Neurospora crassa OR74A: one gene and its partner. The protein of the gene in region 1 purifies or fractionates together with the protein of each later gene. This does not show direct contact. Links are inferred from orthologs where the notes say so. Each region holds a gene or a part of one and is shown in the gene's direction. Other genes may lie near its edges.

Region 1 (4,566 bases):
CCGATCTATGGGTATACGCTGCAATTTGTTACCGCGTCCAAAAGTAGCGTATATCTGGCAAGGTCTGGCTGGCTACCTGCCCAAGTCCCCGGGTCGCTTCCATGCTTGACTCTAGTGTACACTACTACACGGTAGACGCACCCCAGGGCAACTTACAAACCACAAGTGTTTTGAGAAGCGTGTCGATCACCTCGTTGCTGGGCCCAACCATCAGTCAGTTCCTCTGAACAGCCTCCTTCCTGCTTTGGTCAGTGAAGGCAGAGGAGCGGTCAGGTTGACCGTAGAAAAGCGTGGGCCGCAAGAGTGGCCGCCGTCGTGGCTGGCTTGGCAGGCCGGCTGGCTACTGTAGTAGCACGGATGGAGTGAAATTGAGACTGTCGCCGACGAGACGGGGCGTGGTGTGGGTGTCGTGGTGGATGGCCAGTGTTGTGAGTGGTGTCTGGTGTGCGGCAGTTGTTGTGTTGTGATCCAAGCAATGATGGAAATGTGGATTGACAAAAGAGGGACCAAACTAAACAGAGGAAGAGAAGCGAAGATGGAAGCTGGATTATAGGTCGAATCGGAAATCCGGAGACGCTGATCCGGAATCCAGGATTGGAAAGCACATCGTTAGATGGTCCCTTCCTGTGCTAGGTATTGTACTTCAATCCGCACTCTGCAATTTCGGAATAGTTCATCATCCCCGGTCCGTTCCTTCACCGCGGACCTTTCTGTGGGACATCGATGCCTGTCTGGACACCTACCTATGCTATGGTAGGAGATGGAGTGGAAAGAGCACAGCTGGTCACCCAGGTTGATAAATTAGTTCAGTTCCAGCTGTTGGGCAGCCCCACGGTGACAGTGTTCTCAGATGATTCCACGGCAACTAAAGAGTTCACTAAAATCCAGGGACATCGGCCGGCAGAAATTCTCGTGAAATTCCACGTTCGACCAGGTGGACAAGTTGCAGAAGTGGAAGCTTCTATCGCATTGCTGTCGTGCAGGAACCTTACTGGCCGTTGTTCCGTTGTCCTCTGGGCAGGCATTTGCCGGGCTATGATGTACCTACCTGGTTTACCTTATTACCTACCTACTTACTGTACCAATGCCCGTGCTTCGGTCGAGGGATGGCCGCCCCGGGGTGCCCCTGTGGCCTTGGCTGTCAGCAGCTGCCCTGGGCAATTCCACTTCGCGTTGTACCCCGCCATTTCTTGATATACTACTGTACGCAGTAGGTAGGTAGGTACTTTACCCAGCTCTACAATAGGTACCTCCCGTCTTGCCTGCCCAAAACCCAAAGCCCCACTACAAGTACGTAGAGGTACCTCTAGGTACAAGCAAACTGGTCGCTCCGGCCGCGTCCTTTCACTGCACGCTTTGTGCTGACGCCCCCCCTGCAGTCCACTGCAGTGGTTGATATCTAAGTAATGCACGCTGTGCCCGCCCTGGCACAAAACCACTTTCACAGAGTCGCGTCTCGAAGCGCGTCCGAAGCGCAGCGCTGGTTGGCCGCCCTTCCATGTCAATTAAAGGATCCTGGCCAACATCAACAAAGGAACACTCCTATCAACACCATCATCCCTCGCCCGAATTATTGTCGACCGCGACAACACTATCCGACTGACGTGCATCGCCATCACACCAGTATTTTTTTGCCATCGTATATTTCAAGCTACATAGTCCAGAGCAGAAAGCTCTTAACGCGGGGCAGGCCGCGTCGCGCATCCCCCGTCGGTTTTTTTTCTGCCCAGTGAACAGAGTTCGAAGTTAGTTACCTCGAGTAAACTACAACTGAAGTGTTCCACGCCGGCGAATATCCCACGACGACGTCGCCTCGCCGCCCCGCCTCGACAATCCGTCCCCAGCCGATTTCCCTCGCTGATCCACCCTCGATACCGATTCTCCCTTCGCAATGTATCTCCCTCGACAGCTTATATCAAAACTCTACCTCCACTTGCAAAATACCCGCCATCCACTATCGCCGCCCGTCCTCATCTTGGTCGCTCTCGAAACCGATGCGCTATGTGCCTGCCGTATCCTAACCCAACTTCTCAAACATGACTATATTCCGCACAAGATCCAGCCAGTCGCTGGCTACTCCGACCTCGAACGTGCCGGCACTGAGCTCGTCAGCCCCATGATGGAGACCCGTGGTGGTGCTGGAGGAGTCGTCGTATGCTTGGGAGTGGGTGGTATGGTTGACCTCGGCACAGTTTTGGGACTTGAGCCCGAGGGCGAAGAAAATACCTTTGGGGGTGTAGAGGTGTGGGTGATCGACTCCCATCGCCCGTGGAACTTGGGCAACGTTTTCGGCGGCTTTCCCCTCGAACCAGAGACGCAAGAGGCCAGGACATTCTCTGCGCGAACCCCCATTGGTGTCAATGGCGGCCGGATAGAGCGAGCATACAAACCAGGCAAAGGCGGCATCATTGTCATGGATGACGGCGACATTGAAGATGAGCTCTCCAAGGAACGAGATGCGTATCTGGCGCTAGTGGATATGCCCGAAATCGAAGATGATGGCCGAGACTTGGGCGACAGTGATGAAGACGAAAGCGAGAACGAGGAAGACACGGGCGATACATCGGTTGTTGCAGGCAGAAAGAGGAAATCATGGTCGGACTTCGACGAGGACGATGATGAAGACGACCGACCCAGACAGCGACGAAGAAGCAATTCGGTGAGTACATTCCGATTTCTTCATAGTAATACATCTCTCATGCCAGATACAGTCGAGTCCAATTCCAGATTCGCCTCGACGACCGCAACACCGTGGTCTCATATCTCTACGCGACGATGCCCTATTTTCCAGTGACGCGCTGGAAGCTCCGCCTGCTGCACAACCACCCAGAGGCCCTTCAGCCAACACCCTCCGACGGAGATTGCTACGACTACGACGAGAAAACGAGGGAGTTTTGCGCGAGTACTACCGACTGGGTACATCATATTCGGAGCCCATCTCGTCCATGATGTACTCCCTTGCGTCAGAACTGGGTCGTGAAGACAACGACCTGCTATGGTTAGCGATCGTTGGGGTCACGTCGATGGAGCTGTACGGCCGCTCATCTGCCGGTATTGCGGTAGCAGCTCGCAGGTCAGACGCCCGCATTTCCGGTTGGCTCGGCATGCGTGGTGCGAGAATACGGCAGCTTCTGCGAGACGAGGTCAGACGTCTCAACCCACCAGAGATAGGAAACGGCCGGGTGCTCCCCGAGACGACAGGAATTATCCCAACAACCGCTCGAAGTCCGGAGGATACCAGTATCAGGTTGTCGCCGGAGCCCAAGTTCCTGCTTATTAGGCACTGGAGTTTATACGACAGCATGCTTCACTCACCCTACCTCTTCTCTCGGCTAAAGACGTGGAGCGAGGCTGGCATGAAGCGATTACACAAGCTTCTCGCCAAGATGGGTGTCAGTCTGGTGCAGTGCAAGCAGAGTTATGCCCACATGGACATGATGTTGAAGCGCGAACTTCGCACCAAACTACTAAAATACGCGTCTCTCTACAACCTCGACGAACTTGTCCCGACCATAGACACGGACGGGAAAGATCGTGGAGGTGCCAAAGATGGATGGGGCTTTGTACGCAGTTGGGGTTGGAGGGCAACCCTGAGTGCGCAAGATGTCGGTGTCGTAGTCGGAGCCCTGTTGGAAGTGGGGAAGAACACCACTAGTGCTGATGACCTTCCTGCTGGCCCATCTCAGGATCTTCTCGACGTAGACAACAACCAGAGCCAAAGTGAGGAGTGGATCCCCAGGTTCTGGGAGGCGTATGATGCGCTGGAGGACATCGAGGCCCTTAAGGCTGGCCTTCCCACGGCGCAGTATCTACACAAGGCCATCTTCACCACTGGCACGACAATTTTGAAGAAGAAACAAATATCTCATCTGCGCGCATTTCGCATGTGCGTGGTCAAGGACTCACCAGATGCGACACTCTTCAACCACCCCGGCGCTTTGACCAAGCTAGCGCTCTGGATCGGTGAAGCACTCGCGGAACAGGAAAAAGAAGCCACTGGCGGGAGGCTCGCCCATGGCGGTCGTGGCACACCTCTCGTAGTGGCTAGTCTAGATGACAAGCGCGGAGTGTATGTTGTCGTCGGTACTGGTGGCGGCGGTGGGCCAGACACAAAGTTTCTCGATCGTGAATCGGCCAAGAAGCGAGCCGAAGAAAAAGAGGCCAAAGCTAAAGCCAAGGAGATGCAGAGAAGGATCAAGGAAAAGATCAAGGCCGAGAAGAAGGAGGCCAAGAGAAAGGAAAAAGAAGAGAAAAAGAAAGCCAAGTCCGACGCCGGCGGCGATGAGGACGAGGAGGAGGACAACGAGGAAGATAGTGACGACGACTCGGATCTCTCTGATACGGACTCGGACGACGATGATGAGTCGGACGAAGACGAGGACGAGCTCGATCAGGAACTTGAAAGGGGCTACGGCCTCAACAAATTCGGAACAGCGTTCCAAGACGTGGTGGCGGAGACTAATGCCAGAGTGCGCATCGACAGCTTTGAGCACTGCGTCGTGGAGGTCAAGAAGGAGGATCTTAGTGGCTTCTTGGAAAGTCTCAGCATGAAAGTCGTCATTGGGT
Region 2 (4,572 bases), on another chromosome or scaffold:
ACTTTCACTTTGAATCACGTTCTTCTTTTGGTTCTTTCTTCTCTCTCGGATCTTGTATCCCACCTCAGGCAGTAGTCGAGCTTCCACTTACATATACAAAACGGATCAGTCAGCGTTGAAATGCTTCGTCGCTCACATCCTTTCAGTCCTTCACTGTTTGATTAGGACATATGTCAGATCTCCCAGTAAATTGTTTGAAAATTTAGGACATTACTCATTGACGAATCGAACCCCAAGACGTACGTCTCCCCTTTATTTTGGACAACAGCATGAAGTGTAGCGACACATCAAACGGACCGCTCACCTATTGTACATCCGCTCTCACCACCCACATCCTTCAAACCCCAAACATCTCCTCTCAAGCTTTCTGCTTCTCTTTCGCCTCCTCCTCCTTGAACCTCGCAACCAACCTCTCCATCAAAAACGGACTTAGTCCCAAGCTGTAACCAATCCCAACAGTTAGCAACCACGTCAACCCACCTCACCTCACCTCACCAAAGTAAAAATACTCACATGCCCTGATTCGTAACAACCCGATAAGTCCCACTCCCCTGGAACGTCCCCTCGATCATCTTTCCCTGCCCATCCACCTCCACGCTCCCAAAGATATCCTCGGGCCACGCAATCCTTCCGAAATCCACTGGCGTCCTCTCATCACTCAAGTGCACCCATCCTCCCCTGCCCGCGCCTCCCGCGCCTCCCTCCGCTGACGCCCCGCCGGCGCCCGTGTCGCTGCCCTTTTTGCCTACCTTTCTCGAGCCAGGACGAGGAAGGAAGGAGAAACCGGCTGGGGAAGCAAAGGCTTGGGCTTGTGATTGAAGACCGGGGTCGGAGTAGGCGTGTTCGGCGAGGACGGAGTTGAGGATGGAAAGAAAGTGGGGGTTGGTGGTGAAGGACTGGGGAGTTGGGGGTAGGGCGGTGGTGGTGCCGATGGAGAGGGTGGGTGGGGGAGGGGTCGTGGGGAGGAGGGAGAGGATGTAGCTTTTTGGGTCGTTTGGGTGGGGAAAGACTTTCTGTGGTGATGGGTGTTAGTATGGTGTTTGAGTTGTTGTGTGGTGATGTGGTGAGGATGGGGGTTGTGGTGTAAGTGCGGGTGGGGTTGTTGGTGGAGAGGTGGATGGATGACTTGCAATGTTTGGGTTGGACGGCAAGGTCGTGAATGACCTGACTGCGCTTCGTAGCGTAGGAACTACACGAAATCTTGTAGTAAGCATCATGACTGGCTGTATTGAATCTGATATCGAGAATGAAAAGGTTGGTGATGGCGTCAAAAGTTAGTTGATGTCACTCTGGTGCTGTTCGTGCGTCTACTTGTAGCGTAGGTACCTGCTGTAGGTACCTCTCTAGCGCTGCCGGCGGCAACCAGGGTAGGTGGCCCTTGATGCCCCTGTTTCTGACATTGTGGAGCCCGTATTGGCTGAAATCTGGGGTGAGCCCCACTAGAACGCGTCTGGTCCCCTGCTTCGTTTCTCAATTTACGCGTCTTCCAGACAGTGACAATGACGGATATCACCACCACGAACAGACTGGTAGACGGCCAATTGTAACCGACTATACTAAATTGCAAGTTTAGTCGAGCTATCCAGACCACAGACACAATGATCGTTCAAAGTCCCCGCCAAAAGCGGACGAAAACCGGCCAGACAAACGCCCAAGACAGACCATCTCGACCGCAGCCACAAGCAGCAGCCGCCGCCGGCTTCTTTGCGCCCAAGACCCCAGCGGGCCCATCCAACCCGATACCCTCGTCCTCGCCCGCCTTCGCTACTCCAGTACATCCACTGAAGCCGTTCCAACCCCCAGTCCTCACAAAAGCCGCAATCCTGCCCATCATCCTTCCGCCGGCGACACTACGACCGCTCGCCTTCCGAACGTTTACCAAGAAACACAGCCTAACACTTACATCAACTGCCCTACAAGAGCTCGCAACCTTTATCGGTAGACACTGTGGCTCAGGATGGAGGGAAGAAGGCCTGGCCGAAAAGGTGCTAGAAGAGGTAGCAAGGAGTTGGAAGAACCGCAATGGCGGCGTCATCGTGGAAGGCAACAGCCCCGAGCTCAAGGACATTCTCAAGACCCTCGAGGGAAACATGAGCGGAGGAAAGATCCTGACCGGGCCACGAAGCTTGAGCAGACAAAACAGTCTCTTGCTAGAGCCCGACCAAGACGAACAACATGCGCATAGTCGACTCGGACTTCGGCCCGTGCCATCATTAACCCGGGAGGACAGCAACGCCAGCTTTGGCATGTCTGGGTTGGAGTTCACAGAAGAGCCGGAAGACGATTCGGTGAGAGATGTTAGGAGGTGGCTGAAGGTTATACATGCTTTCGATCAACCACGGTTGATGTATAATGTTGGAAAGAAGCATTTTGAGAGGTATGGTCCCTTATTATTTATTACCCTCTTTACATAGGTTACACAGCTAACCTTTGTAGGGATCCTTCCAAACCCTCCCTACTACCAGCCGCCTCTCACAAAACCGATGCCTTCCGCAACCGCTACAACGTTATTCATCAGCGCATCCTTCGCAACGAAGCCTTTCAATCCTCCTCCGTCCAAGGCTCCAGCTTGCGCCAACGAACCAACGCCAACGGCCTCTCCTCCCACAAGATTACCCCAATCGCCAACCTGCTCGGCCGCCATGGCAGCAACCACATGCTGCTGGGCATGCTTGTTGTCCTTCCCACTGGCTCTCTTGCCATCAGCGACCTGACGGGCACCATTACTCTCGACCTCTCTCACGCTGTCGCCATCCCTGAAGATTCTGCCTGGTTTACGCCGGGAATGATTGTTCTCATCGACGGCGTCTACGAAGAGGAGGAGGAAACCATGACCATGGGCAACGGTCTCAGTGGTAGCAGCGGTGTGGGCGGTACCATCGGCGGCCGGTTCCAAGGTTTCTTCATCGGCCAGCCACCATGCGAAAAGCGCCGCGTTACGCTCGGGGTTAGTGGGCCCGACGGCACCGGCGCTGATCATACCATTGGCGGCGGATTCGGCTGGATCGACTTCCTGGGCGTAGGTAGCGAGAGGGCAGTCGGGTCCAAAATGCGCAAGTTGGAGCACAGAATTCTTCGGCAACCAGCGCTGTTGGAGGATGGCAGGCCGTCGAGGGGTAGGGCAGTGATTATTGGCGAACTAAACCTAGATCAGCCGAGGAGTTTGCAGGCACTGAGAAAAATCTTGGGTCTCTATGCTAGTGATCCTGAAGGGTGTACACCCATGACGTTTGTGCTGGCGGGTAACTTCACGCAGCATGCTGTCATGGCGAGGGGCGGGAGTGGGGGGAGTATTGAGTACAAGGAGTTTTTCGATGCGTTGGCATCGACACTGGCGGATTTCCCTAGTCTGCTCACGACGGCTACCTTTGTTTTTGTGCCAGGTGACAACGACGGGTGGGTGTCTGCCTTCTCAGGTGGTGCGGCAACTCCTTTGCCGAGGAAACCCGTCCCAGATCTGTTTACTTCCCGCATCAGGAGGGTATTCGCAGCAGCGAATGCTGAAGCCGGGCTAGCCAACCCTGGCAAAGAAACAGAAAAGGATGCAGGCAAGAGGAGAGGCGGCGAAGCTGTCTGGACAACCAACCCAAGTAGGATAACCCTTTTCGGGCCTAGTCACGAAATGGTTCTTTTCCGAGATGACATCTCCGCCCGGTTACGACGAGCTTCTGTCCGTCTTAAGAACACGAGCAAAGCCTCCGTCGAGCCGGAACCCCCAACCAATGGTAACGACGACTCGGCAATGGATAACCAATGTCCACCCTCCTCCCTCCCCGACGCCCCCGATGCTGACGACGAAGACATGGCCGACACAACCATGACCGACGCCATGGATGTCGATTCTGCCCCTGCCCCTAACCAAAAGACTACCATGCCTCCTCCATCTTCCATACCCTACGACGTCCTCGCCGCCCGCAAGCTAGTGAAAACCATTCTCGACCAAGGCTATCTCGCTCCTTTCCGGCAAGCTATCCGCCCGGTACATTGGGACTATACTTCCGCCATGTACCTCTACCCGCTGCCGACGGCCATGGTACTGGTGGATACTACCGCTCCGCCGTTTTGCGTGACGTATGAGGGGTGCCACGTGATGAATCCGGGGAGCATATTAGTGCCGGGGAGGAAGGGGGCGGCACGGTGGGTTGAGTATGAGTTACCGGGAGTGGGAGGGACGGGGACGGGTGGAGGGAGGGTTAGGGAGTGTACATTCTGAGTTTTGCACATTTCGAGTGAAATGTTTGATTGTCTGGAGAAAAATCTGCCTTGAGCTTATTACGAGGCTGTGCTGGGAGATCTTGCTCTTGAATCGGTCTTGGGGCTGGGACTATTGGCTCTGTAAAGCTGATCGGGGAAAAGGGTAACTCGTATTGCTGGGCGGACGCTACGGTGGCAGGGCACAATCGAACCTCGAACACGGTGGGCATCTCAGGCGCCATCAATTTCTTTCCGTCGATTTCACGCCTCGCTCCCTGTTGTGCAGCACCTGCACGTCATGGCTGTACTCCCCTTTACAATGCATGAAGAGGAAAACAGGCTTCAGCCTGCTTATCTATAACGGAGACCATATCACCG

What was found.
Region 2: the proteins of NCU04378 (region 1) and NCU10155 purify together in Saccharomyces cerevisiae (affinity purification with western blotting; 6 studies listed by BioGRID, with this or other methods). This does not show direct contact. The link is inferred for Neurospora crassa OR74A from reciprocal best matches to the Saccharomyces cerevisiae genes CDC45 and DPB2.

Annotation. Positions count from the first base shown.
Region 1 is NC_026504.1:3,567,800-3,572,365, reverse strand, and holds the start of NCU04378 (DNA replication initiation factor Cdc45), read left to right. Parts: upstream 1-1,533; 5' UTR 1,534-1,891; coding exon 1,892-2,659; intron 2,660-2,711; coding exon 2,712-4,566. UniProt on the Saccharomyces cerevisiae protein: Required for initiation of chromosomal DNA replication. Acts at the origin of replication. Also has a role in minichromosome maintenance.
Region 2 is NC_026505.1:1,592,245-1,596,816, forward strand, and holds the start of NCU10155 (DNA polymerase epsilon subunit B), read left to right. Parts: upstream 1-1,465; 5' UTR 1,466-1,598; coding exon 1,599-2,377; intron 2,378-2,436; coding exon 2,437-4,213; 3' UTR 4,214-4,572. Other genes in the region: NCU04588 (hypothetical protein), read right to left, coding at 359-440, 514-1,013, 1,131-1,217. UniProt on the Saccharomyces cerevisiae protein: As accessory component of the DNA polymerase epsilon complex participates in chromosomal DNA replication.